Linked DNA regions of Rattus norvegicus. The protein of the gene in region 3 purifies or fractionates together with the protein of the main gene of each other region. This does not show direct contact. Links are inferred from orthologs where the notes say so. Each region holds a gene or a part of one and is shown on either strand. Other genes may lie near its edges.

Region 1 (3,652 bases), on a different chromosome or scaffold from region 3:
AAAATCTTCTTTAGAACAATTGTTCACATATTCTGGAACAGATCAGATCAGAACAGATCAGGGAGCCATGCACTGCTACCATGAGGTGCTGTTGAATCTGATCAGATGATTAAGGTAATAATCCTCAGATTTCTCCACTATAAACCTTTTTTTGGGCAGGGGGGGGAGGGTGCTGGAGATTGGACCCAGGGCCTCATCCATCATTCCTATCCACCATCAGCCCTTAATCAACAACCTGCTGGATTTCAGACTGTCTGATACCCTAAGGTGTCAGCCTTTGACTTAGTGCTCAGTTCTGACAAGGTTTTTGTTTGGTTGGGTTTTTTTTTGTAGGGGTGGGGTTTGCTTTAGTTTATTTTTTTTTAGTATTAATCTAGATGTACTAAATAACAATAATATTGTATATGTGGCAAGTATACAAGAGGAACTGTAACACCTACTTTAAGATATATGTTTTGTAATTTCACGTGTGTGTGTGTGTGTGTGTGTGTGTACACTTCCTCTTCTCTGCCCCAAAGGGCAGTTAACATCATAGCCAACAGGCTGCATGTGTCTTGGTTCTTACCTGTCAGCTTACTGAAGGCTTCCATGTCATGAATGGCTGTGGAAATTCGAAACTTCTTCCCTTCGGTCCCGGTAATCTCCACGTGGGGGTCTGCTTTGAGGAAAGCTTCGGTAATCCTAAAACCATTGTTTAAAAACACAGAGGACATTTTGAAGATTTACTTTACATCTTGCTCAAAAGGATTCTTCTAGTTTAAGAAAACAAATAAGGCGCTATCTACGTTTGAAAGACAACTGTTTATGACTGTGAGTTGCATCCCTAGTGTGTTCCAGGCACTATAGCAGGAATTCAGAGGTCTTAACTTGCAAGCCTACTGTGTTCTAGGCTCTACAGCAGGGGTTTAAGGGCCTTGAGTTGCATGCATACTGTGTTCCAGGCAGGACAGCAGAGCTTCAGGAGCCTTTATCTCATTTGGTTTTTCCAATAATAAGTATACTCAGCCCCAATTTTATAGGTGCAGAAACAACATGATTTTCCTTTAAACAAGGTCAGAAGAAGTGTATTAAGCTTCGAACTAAAAGCTCTGACTCTGAACTGAAAACAAAATTACCTAAACTCTTTTCTTCCCTTGAGACAAGGTCTCAGACTAACTTTAAGGTTGCTACATACCTGAAATGACCTTGAAATCTGCCTGCCTGCCTGTCTGTCTGTCTGAGTGCTGGCATCGCAGACATCTGCTATCATATTCACTTTACTTTTTTTTTTTCCTTTTTTTGACAGAATTTTTCTACATAGCCTGGCTATGCTGGAACGTACTTTGTAGACCAGGTTGGTCTTGATCTCACACAGATCTGCCTACCTCTGCCTCCAGATGCTGGGATCAAAGGTGTGTACCACCATGCCTGGCTTCTGCTAGGCTTCTTTAATGTTATACAGCTTGCACTGGGAATGCTAATGTGGCAAAGCACCGTGTAAACTTTTAGAGTGAGGTAACGCTGATGATCTTACATTATATCGATGAGGTTGCCGATTTTGTGCTGATAAGCTCTGCGGTGTAAGCAGTTGCGTGTGTGGAACATGTCGTACAGGTTTCCAACCTCCTGCAAGGAAACAGACATGGAATCGCAGGATCAGATTGTGTCTACCTTTGTTTGGGATAGGATCTCACTGTGTGGCTGTCCTGGAATTCACAGACATCCACCTGCCTCTGCCTCCTGTGTGCTGGGATTAAAGGGCCAGTATGCAGAAAGACATTTCCTATAGTGTAGTTCCATACCACTTCTTAAGCTCCATATCATCCAGTAAGGACCTAACAGGGTTGAAATTCCAGTTTTGTATATTATTTAACTCAACCCTTCTACATATCTCACTGACCTCTCCTGTTAAATAGCAAGGTGTGGTTTGTCCCACCGAAACCCACATCCAAATTCAGTCCCTAAAGTAACATTGGTGAGAGAGTGGGAGGCCCTTAAGAGGCGATAACACTATCACAGCTCCGATCTCATGATCCCGTGAGATGACTAGGTTGGTTTGTGGGAGGAGGCTGTTATGAGGCCAGCCTGACACTGCCCCTTCCGCTCCTTGGCAGCGTTCTTGTGTGCACTTCTGGCTTTTACCGTGCAAGGAACAGCACAGAAGCAGAGCAAATGCTACTACCATGCTCTTAAACGTCCTCTGGCAGTATGAGGTAGATAAACCCTTTTCTTTATAAATTGCACAGGCTCGGGTATTTCGTTATGGCAACAGAATGCAGACTGAAACCAACGAAGTGATAGCATACACATAGGGTCATGAGGATCCAGTTGGCCTCTCAGGAACACTCGAAGCCCACCCAGCATAAGACTCAATAAACGCTGGATTTAATTTTATTATTATTGTTATTGCTTAACAATGTAATGGGGGGTGGTGGCTGCAGAGATGGCTCAGGGGTTAAGAGCACTGACTGCTCTTCCAGAGGTCCTGAGTTCAATTCCCAGCAACCACATGGTGGCTCACAACCATCTGGAATGGGATCTGATGCCCTCTTCTAGTGTCTGAAGACAGCTACAGTGTACTCACATACATAAATAAGTAAATTTTAAAAATGACAGAGCTTTAAAAAAAAAAGAAATAGAAGAAAAAAGTGTTAAGACACTTAGAGGCTAAGCATTAAGATGGGCCACAGAGATGGCTTAGCAAGTGGAATCTGCTACTCCATGATAGGCAAGGCAGGCTGCCTGCGCCTCAGCTCCAGGGCACGTGATGCCCTCTTCAGGCCTCTAGGGGAACACGTGCTCATGCACAGACACATAATTACAAGTGATAATAAGTCTTCTGTTTTAAAGAGTTTGTGGGACTAACGAGATGTCACTAGTCCTTGCTGCACAACCATGGGGACCTGGGTTCTGATCCCAGCGTCTATGTAATAAGCTGGGTGTGGTCTCCTGTGGATCTGCAGCCCCAGTGAGGAGGGAGACAGAAGCAGGAGGATGACTAGTAAACACCCATGAGGTGTAGGGGGAGAACCGGAAGTGAGGGGTAAGGCAGAGAGTGCTGCAGGAGCGCAGCCTCTGTGTGCACTCCCTCACACGAGTGTGCAGAGCAGGCACACACACAGACCACACACATGCACATGATCTAAAAAGTCACTCACAAGAAATAAAGGGGAAAGAGAAGAGGAAGGAATTGAAAGAAAGGAAAGATGGCTTCTGGATTCTTCCAGATTTCTGGATGATTATCTCCAGATTCCAGATGGAGAACTGTATTCTTATGGAGCTCACCTTTTCTCTGGTACAAATGTGCTTCACCTTATGTGCCCGGGTCTCGTCGTCCACTTCACAGATACGGGCAAACTTAATGAAGCGCTTGTAATCAAAATTATTTTGGATTCCAAGATGGTGACAGTCTCTAGAAAGTTCCAAAGCAGAGATAAGAAACATTTCAGCAAGGAAGCTGCCTTAAACACAGATACTACATTTCATTTCCTTTCTTTTCTTTCTTCCTTTCTTGTTTTAACTCTGAACCAAGTTTCAGATGTACCAGCTGACAGAACGCTGGTCGGAGACTGAAGAATATGCTGAGGGGCACAGGGTGATAACTGAGCCAAAAGTCAGTGGGGAAATTTTCTGGAAGATGTTAGGGGATTGGCTACAGAATAAAAGACTAGAA
Region 2 (3,652 bases), on a different chromosome or scaffold from region 3:
AATTCCATCATAGCTGGCCACTACTCCTTAAAGTTTAATTCAAACACACACACACACACACACACACACACTCACACCCCATTTACAGATCCTATTGGATTGGATCAGGCTAGATTCCCTTTCATCTCCAATCCCCCACCCCATTTGCTGAAAAATGTAGGTGACTTGCCTGGCAGAAAAATCAAAACCCAATACTCAAGTTAACACACAGAGCAGAAAGCAATGCTAAGACTCCTAGGTGTACTGTCTTGTTCTACTTATCTGCAGAGATCTTTCCTAGGTATATTACAAGTTTATGAACAATCTGGGGGTGGTGGTAGTATATGTCTGTAATCTCAGCACACCGGAGCCTGAGGCAGATTAAGTCCAAGGCCAGCCTATGGTAAACACTGAGCTGTTTTAAAGGGGAGGGGACTGATTCAGAAGAGTGCTTGCCCGGCATGCATGAAGCCCTAGGTTCCCAGGACCATGTATAACTGGGCATGGTGACAGATGCTTGAGATCTTAGCACTTGAGGCAGAAGATGATCAGAAACTCAAGGCCACTCTTGGCAAAACGGCAAGTTTTGAGGCCAGCCTGGGTTACATGAGACCATGACACATACATCCCACACCTTTCTGAGCAAGTCTCAGACACACACACACACACACACACACCTCTATCTATCTATGTATCTATGTATGTATCTATGTATGTATCTATGTGTGTGTGTGTGTGTATGTATGTATGTATGTATGTATGTATGTATGTATGTATGTATCTATCTATCTATCTATCTATCTATCTATCTATCTATCTATCTATCTGTGTTGGAGCTTAAGAGAAATGCTGTAACATGTGCACACCAGTTAACCAGCCACTGTGATGGGTGAAGCAGCCAATCAAGCTTTGATTCTTTCTTCCTGATTTTTGAGATGGGATCTTGCTAGGTAGCTTAGGCCGAGCAAGAGCTTATCCTCCAGGCCTGGTCTCTGGAATACAAGGACCACGAGTACCACCCCAACGAGAAATATTCTGCTCATCAGGTAATAGATGTAAGCCTTTTTAAATTTTTGTCTATGTTAAGTATCCTTTATCTGAAAAGGAAATGTTTTGTATTCAGGCATTTTTGGATATGGAGTATGTGCACCTCCTAGTTTTGAACACCCCTAACCTCCAACAACTGAAATGTGAAATGCATCATGTCCTCAAGAAGTTTTGGATTTTGGAGCATTGAGGAGCTGGGATTTTTGGATTAGGAATGCTTAACTTCCAGATGAAAAAGGGATCATTGTGACCTACATGTTGGAATTATGATGTAGGGTTAGCAAAAATCACAGTTTTTATGCAAACAGTGTGAATGATCTCTGAAACAAATCCTCCTGGTACACTATACTGGGACAACAGAAACAGCCCCAAGAATCCCAGATCCTGAAGGTGGCCATGAGAGACTGTCCTTTGGATCTTTCCGACAAGCTGGCCATCTAGTTCTTGAGCGCTTTACCTTCCAGTCAACTGGAGTGGCAACTGGATTTGATGCTGTCAGCTGGAGGGAGTCAACCACTCTGAGAATCTCATCAAAGTTTCTGCCCGTGGTGGCTGGGTAGAGGATGGACAGTTTTAGTTTCTTGTCAGGGCCAAAAATGAATACCTGTAAAACACACATGGGCGGTCTTTAGTACAAGACAGTAAAGCTGTTTCTGGACACTCCGGTCCATGAACTCGATACCTCTTTCAGGGAAATAAGAAAACAGAACCGGCAAAGGAAAATGGTCATTAATTACAAGGTAGCCAAACTAGGGAGGGAGACTCCTTCTAGTCTGTCCATCCCTCCTCTAACACAGGGGTTTCTCTACCTTCCCAGTGCTGTGACCCTTTAATACAGTTCTTCATGTGATCCCCAACCAGAAAATCATTTTGTTGCTACTTCATAACTGTAATTTTGCTAATTATGAATCATAATGTAAAGACTGATATGCAGAATATGACGTGACCCCTGTGAAAGGGTTGTTCTATAGTTAGAGTTCTATAATTAAAAAAAAAAAAAAAAAAAACCAAAAAAACAAAACCACAAAACAAAAAAGCAACTTATTTTTGTGTGTGAGGGTGTGGGTGTATACTTGTGCCAGTGTGAGAATAGAGGTCATAGGTCAGCTTGCAGGAGTTGGTTCTCTCCTGCACCATGTGGGTCCCGGAAATCCAATCAGACCCTCAGGTCTGGCAGCAAACGCTCTCAGCTGCTAAGCTACCTTGCTCCCGTGTAACACAGTCATAGAACAGATGAACCAGAAGCCAGAAGCTCGCACACGTCCATTCACACAGCCCTCAAGACTGTGGGAAATGTCGTCCTTCGAGGAAAGAGAAAGTTCCCACTTGGTGTGGATGCCTTAGCCTTTCCCTTCCAGCACGGGATTCCTGGAGATTCTTTGGGGTTCACTGTTTTAAAGTCTGATACAAAGCCCCCAGGAAGCTTTGGAGTCACTAAGTGATCCAAGATGCAATAAATAAATAAACAAATAAACAAATAAAAACAGAACAAAGGAGTGGGTGAGTGGACAAGGTTCTGTTTGGGTCACAGGGCGCTTTCTTGTCTATGTATTCTTCAAAGTTTGCTGTTCCAGGAAGAAAAGCACTGCAATGCAACCTCGGGGTTCAGCCTCAGGTAGAGGTCCTAGTTCACCTAGGATGGTTACTTACCGTGGACATATTTATTATGAATGTGAGCTGTAATTTATTATATAAATAAATACGTCACTAACGCGGGCTGTGTATGAGTGGAGAGTAGGCTTGTTCCCCAGTGAATAAACGACCTATAAGAAAGTTCTAGATTGTCCTGTCAGAATTGCTTTAAGGACAGCTGGCAGGAGACATACGATTTTTTTAACTCTAGAAAAACAGTTTTGGATGTACTACTTATTTATGTACAGCTACGAATTAAACAGAAATTTTAACTGAATATTCTAGCCACATATTAATACGTACAGCGTGTAATAAAGGGCACAATCAGGAGCTGTCTCACGACTGTACATTTTCCTCTTGGACTGGCTCAAGCATTTACACAGTGCTATGACTCACCACACGGGCTGTCACGGGCATGCCTTTTTCATCCTTCTCTGCTGGATCCAACATGCCCAACAGGATGGCAAGGTCCCTGTCCTTATCGTCGATGATGGGAAATGGTAGCTTTTCTGTGGGTGCTGCACCATTGTAAGCATTGATGTCCTGAAACAAGAGAAGGGGGAGAGAGACTCTTAAGCCTGACACGGTTCTCAGAGTCTCCCCAGGCTAAGAATCATCGCTTTGCAAGCCAAGGACCTATCCCCATACTCATGTTCTTTAAGGAATCATAAGATGCATGAACAGATACTCCTTGTCGGAAGTGATTATTCGCTCAAAGGAACATTAGCAGAGCCGTATGCACAGGCCAGGGCCCTTCCCATGCTGAACTCTCTTGAAATGTATAGGACTGAGGAGGGAGGGAAGGCTTCCAGAAAGGGGTAGAATGCCTACCTGGGCTCTGAAAGACAGGTAAAGCTTTTCACTGGGAAGAACAAGGCATTTTGGGGAGAAGAGGAGTATTAAGGGGACCATGTAGGCAAGTCTATGCATAATGTATGTAGGTAGCTAGGAGTTTAGGAAGTGACAGGGAAGTGAATTTAAAATTAGACAAGGG
Region 3 (4,344 bases):
AAGGAAGCACCTTCTCTGGACACCCATACTGGTCCTCCTTTCAGCAGCCAAAGGTACCAGGGGGTGAGAATGAGCCCCTATATAGAAGGGGATGCTCATTTGCATAGGCCTTCCTCCTCTCCCTCCAGAGGAGGGGAAACCTGGGAAGAAGGAAAGGGCCGGAACTGATTTCATCCCATTGCTCCAATGACAGTGTCTGGTTTCACTGGGTCACATTCACTGACACACACTTATTCTGGAAAGAGTTCGCTGATGGGCAGCCGCAATTCATATACTTCACAGTCACAGTTCAGCAAGGCAGAGTCAAGAGAATTGAGTCAAACCAAAGAGTTCCTTAAGACAGAAACAGCACCTTTATCCAAAAGCAGCCAGAAGGGGCTGGGAGTGTAGATTGCCAGCAATGAAACAACACAAGCAGCCAATGAACCCCGAAACAGTGAGACAGTATTAAGCTAGGCTGAGAAACGACTCTGTTATCTAGCCAAAGAATCCTTTACAATAAGAGTCCCGATTGATTTTCCAGCCTGGCCTACAGAGCGAGTTCCAGGACAGCCAAGATTACACAGAGAAACCTTGTCTGGGAAAAAGAAAAGAAAGAAAAAGGAGGGAAGGAGGGAGGGAGAGAGGGAGGGAGAGGGAGGGAGGGAGGGGAAGAGGGGGAGGGAGAGGGAGGGAGGGAGGGAGAGGGAGAGGGAGAGGGAGAGGGAGAGAGAGAGAGAGAGAGAGAGAGAGAGAGAGAGAGAGAGAGAGAGAGAGATTGAATTCGTGTTCCACATGGCCTCACCCGGGAAACCGAGCCAAACGGATCTCTGTGAGTTTGAAGACAACGTGGACTTTTGAACGCATTCCAGCCAACAAGGGCTGCATTATGAGATGTTTCAGAAAAGCAGGTGGGAGTGCTGGAGAAACGGCACCTCTGTTGAAAGCACAAGCTGCTCTTGCAGAAGACCAGAGTTCGCCCAGGACCTCAGCTCCCGGGGATCTGCTGTTTCCGTGAAAACCTACAGATACGCAAACACACACCTAATTTAAAATACGTATTTTTTTCTTTTAAAGATTCCCAGGTTTAGTTTTTTAAAAGAGACTTTCTTGGCCAGGTGGAATTTAATCTCACCCAAGGGATGGTGAAAATTGTGAGGGAAAGGTAAGAAAAATCCGTAGACCAGAAACAACACCAGTTCTGGCCCGCGGAACCTAAACCAGGAACTAGGGGAAAGTTGCGCCTCGGCCCCTCCGCTCGCCTGCCGGGGGCGGGGCCTCTGAGGCGGGAGCGCGGGGTCCGGTCCGCCCTCGTGACGTGAACCAATCGGAAGGACGGGGGGCGGGGCCAGGGAAACGCGGGAAGGAGGGGCGGGGCCTCGGATGGCAGGCTGGAGCAGTGGGGGAGGCGGCAACATTGTTTCAAGTTGGACAAATTGTCAAGAGCTGAGCTCTGCTTGCGTTCCATCCCGAGCTAGGGCTGCCGTGCTCACCCGGGCCCCCAGGTCCTCCGCTCCGAGTGTCCGGCCCGCTTTCGTCAGGGTTCCCGGGCCCCGCTCCCGGGGGCCTGAGCCGCCTCACTAGCGCTCCATGGAGAACTTCCAAAAGGTGGAGAAGATTGGAGAGGGCACGTACGGAGTGGTGTACAAAGCCAAAAACAAGTTGACGGGAGAAGTTGTGGCGCTTAAGAAAATCCGGCTCGACACGTGAGTGGCCTCCGAAGCCGGAACTCCTTTGCCCGGACCTCTTGGCTGCCCCCCCCCCCAACCCCTTACCCAAACAGGCGGGTAGCCTCCCGGGACCGGAAGGTGGCGGGGAGGGACTCCTGAAGCGAGCGGTGGGTTGGCGGACGGTGGACGCTCTCCCGGAGGAGACTGTCCGGGGCTAGAATTCAGGGGAAAGTTTCTTGTCGTGCTCCTCCCGGTGTGCTCCCAGATCTGCAAGCCGAGAGACTTGGGAAGAGAAAGTGGGAGGTGGGAGCTGAGGTAGGATCCAGGGCTGTTCATGGAGTTGGGTTATGTGGGAACCAGAGAAAAGCTCCTTTCTGAGTGGAGAGCTCTTCTCACTACTCCAGCACCATACTTAGAACCCTCACCCTCTTTCAAAAGAATGGCAGTTGAGATTCACTGGTTCTCTGGGGAGGCTGGGAGCTACTCTCAACCCCCTCCGCTATTACCTTTCCTCTGCTTTTTATTCACCTGGAGGCTTCCCTTATCTTCCACTGGAAAAAGAGGAAATAATGACCTTGAATATTGTCTAAAAGCCACACCCTGACTACCCAGGAATTAACCCCTGACAACACCTTTCCTTTCTGACTTCCTAATGGGTTTGGGGGTTGTGTATCCCTGAAAGAATAATGTTTGTAACCGTCTTCCCGCCTCTGTTTCCCCAACCTCTCCAAGTGAGACTGAAGGTGTGCCCAGTACTGCCATCCGAGAGATCTCCCTCCTTAAGGAGCTCAATCACCCTAACATCGTCAAGTAAGTCTACTCTGAGGGATGATCCCCAAGATGAATTCTGTTTGCTTGGCCTCACAATTTCTCTCCCTCAACTCTGGTTCCTGGAACTTCCCTTGCAGGCTGCTGGATGTCATCCACACAGAAAATAAGCTTTATCTGGTGTTTGAATTCCTGCACCAGGACCTCAAGAAGTTTATGGATGCTTCTGCTCTCACTGGCATTCCTCTTCCCCTCATCAAGGTAATCCTGCTCAAGTCTAGCCTACACGCTTTAGGGGAAACTAGAAGCAGGTAATTCGGACTAGTAATGATTTATTTTGGCTTTTTTTCCCCTCAGACTTCTGACTTTAACACACTCCCCCCTTTCCTGTCATTAGTCATTAACCCTAGAATGGACAGAAGAATCCAAATTGAGCTCCTGTGAACCAACCAAGGCAGCTCAGGCAGGAAGGAGATCAGATAACACTCAGATACAGGAGATTGAGGGTAGATGAGTTCCTTGAAATAAATTCTCCCACCTGTGGTGTGGGAAAAACTAATCAGTGAGTCTCTGTGGTCTGTTTTCAAGCTAGGCTGGATCCTGGAAGCACTTTGAATGTATCAGCAAGTACCTACTCAACACATAGTCACTTAACACCTTCAGTGTTGCTAGACACGGGGGTTGAAAAAAGGGATGCAAAAGTTGAGTAGTATCTGGTCTATATCCTTGCCAGGCTGAAAATTCAGTGAAAGACATCGCTATTAAAGGTGTGGTTATGCTGTAGTTGTGTGTGTTGGTTTGTGTCTGTAATCCTAACACTTGGGAGGCTGAGGCAGTAGGATGTAAGTACAAGGGCAGCCAAGCTACAAAGTTCCAGGCCAGAAAGACAGTATCTTTAAAAACAAGCAGGACTGACAAGATAGCTCAGTGGTGAAAGCGCCTGCCTCCAAGCCTAATGACTTGACGGCCTGAACTCCATCCCTAGGTCCCACACAAGAAGAAAAGGAGCTCCTGCAAGTTGTCCTCTGACTTCTACACATGCACTGTGGCATGCCCCTGCCCCCATAAATAAACAAACAAATAAAATGTAACTAAAGAATTAAAGAACCCCTCCCCAAGTATATGGTATAGTTCTTGTGCAGCATATTGAATTTTTTTTAAAGATTTATTTATTTATTATATATAAGTATACTGTCGCTGTCTTCAGACACACCAGAAGAGGGCATCAGATCTCATTACAGATGCTTGTGAGCCACCATATGGTTGCTGGGATTTGAACTCAGGACCTCTGGAAGATCAACCAGTGCTCTTAGCTCCTGAGCCATCTCTCCAGCCCAGCATATTGAATTTTGAGGATAAAGAATAAGTCATATCTGTTTGATGAAACAAACCTCCCTCTCTCCTTTGTCAGAGCTATCTGTTCCAGCTGCTCCAGGGCCTAGCATTCTGCCATTCTCACCGTGTCCTGCACCGAGACCTTAAGCCCCAGAACCTGCTTATCAACGCAGAGGGGTCCATCAAGCTGGCTGACTTTGGACTAGCAAGAGCCTTTGGAGTCCCTGTCCGTACTTACACTCATGAGGTAAGTCCCTTTATGGTTTTCCTTAAGGATCTTGGGAGATGGGGCTGGAGAGATGGCTTAGTGGTTAGGAGCACTGACTGCTCTTTCAGAGGTCCTGAGTTCGATTCCCAGCAACCACATGGTGGCTCACAACCATCTGTAATGAGATCCGATGCCCTCTTCTGGTGTGTCTGAACAGAGTACTCATATACATTAAATAAATAAATTTTTTTTTAAAAAAAGGATCTTGGGAGATGTTCGTAAGAGCATTTGGAAATTACCAAAATTTGGGGCAAGAGTTCTTTGGTGAATGGAATCTCTGACAACCCAAGGGCCTTTAATTATTTATGTAAAGTGTATGAGTGT

What was found. Proteins that work in one complex are often made in the same cells at the same time.
Region 1: the proteins of Cdk2 (region 3) and Samhd1 purify together in Homo sapiens (affinity purification with mass spectrometry; 3 studies listed by BioGRID and IntAct, counting the BioPlex papers as one, with this or other methods). This does not show direct contact. The link is inferred for Rattus norvegicus from reciprocal best matches to the Homo sapiens genes CDK2 and SAMHD1.
Region 2: the proteins of Cdk2 (region 3) and Prdx6 purify together in Homo sapiens (affinity purification with mass spectrometry; 3 studies listed by BioGRID, with this or other methods). This does not show direct contact. The link is inferred for Rattus norvegicus from reciprocal best matches to the Homo sapiens genes CDK2 and PRDX6.

Annotation. Positions count from the first base shown.
Region 1 is NC_086021.1:166,190,310-166,193,961, forward strand, and holds part of Samhd1 (deoxynucleoside triphosphate triphosphohydrolase SAMHD1), read right to left. Parts: intron 3,392-3,652; coding exon 3,265-3,391; intron 1,606-3,264; coding exon 1,514-1,605; intron 682-1,513; coding exon 566-681; intron 1-565.
Region 2 is NC_086031.1:76,062,531-76,066,182, forward strand, and holds part of Prdx6 (peroxiredoxin-6), read right to left. Parts: intron 3,202-3,652; coding exon 3,055-3,201; intron 1,631-3,054; coding exon 1,484-1,630; intron 1-1,483. UniProt on the Homo sapiens protein: Thiol-specific peroxidase that catalyzes the reduction of hydrogen peroxide and organic hydroperoxides to water and alcohols, respectively. Can reduce H(2)O(2) and short chain organic, fatty acid, and phospholipid hydroperoxides.
Region 3 is NC_086025.1:1,718,954-1,723,297, reverse strand, and holds the start of Cdk2 (cyclin-dependent kinase 2), read left to right. Parts: upstream 1-1,419; 5' UTR 1,420-1,569; coding exon 1,570-1,685; intron 1,686-1,747; exon of another isoform or gene 1,748-1,964; intron 1,965-2,381; coding exon 2,382-2,459; intron 2,460-2,557; coding exon 2,558-2,678; intron 2,679-3,828; coding exon 3,829-3,999; intron 4,000-4,344. Other genes in the region: melanocyte protein Pmel 17 precursor, read right to left, coding at 1-27. UniProt on the Homo sapiens protein: Serine/threonine-protein kinase involved in the control of the cell cycle; essential for meiosis, but dispensable for mitosis. Phosphorylates CABLES1, CTNNB1, CDK2AP2, ERCC6, NBN, USP37, p53/TP53, NPM1, CDK7, RB1, BRCA2, MYC, NPAT, EZH2.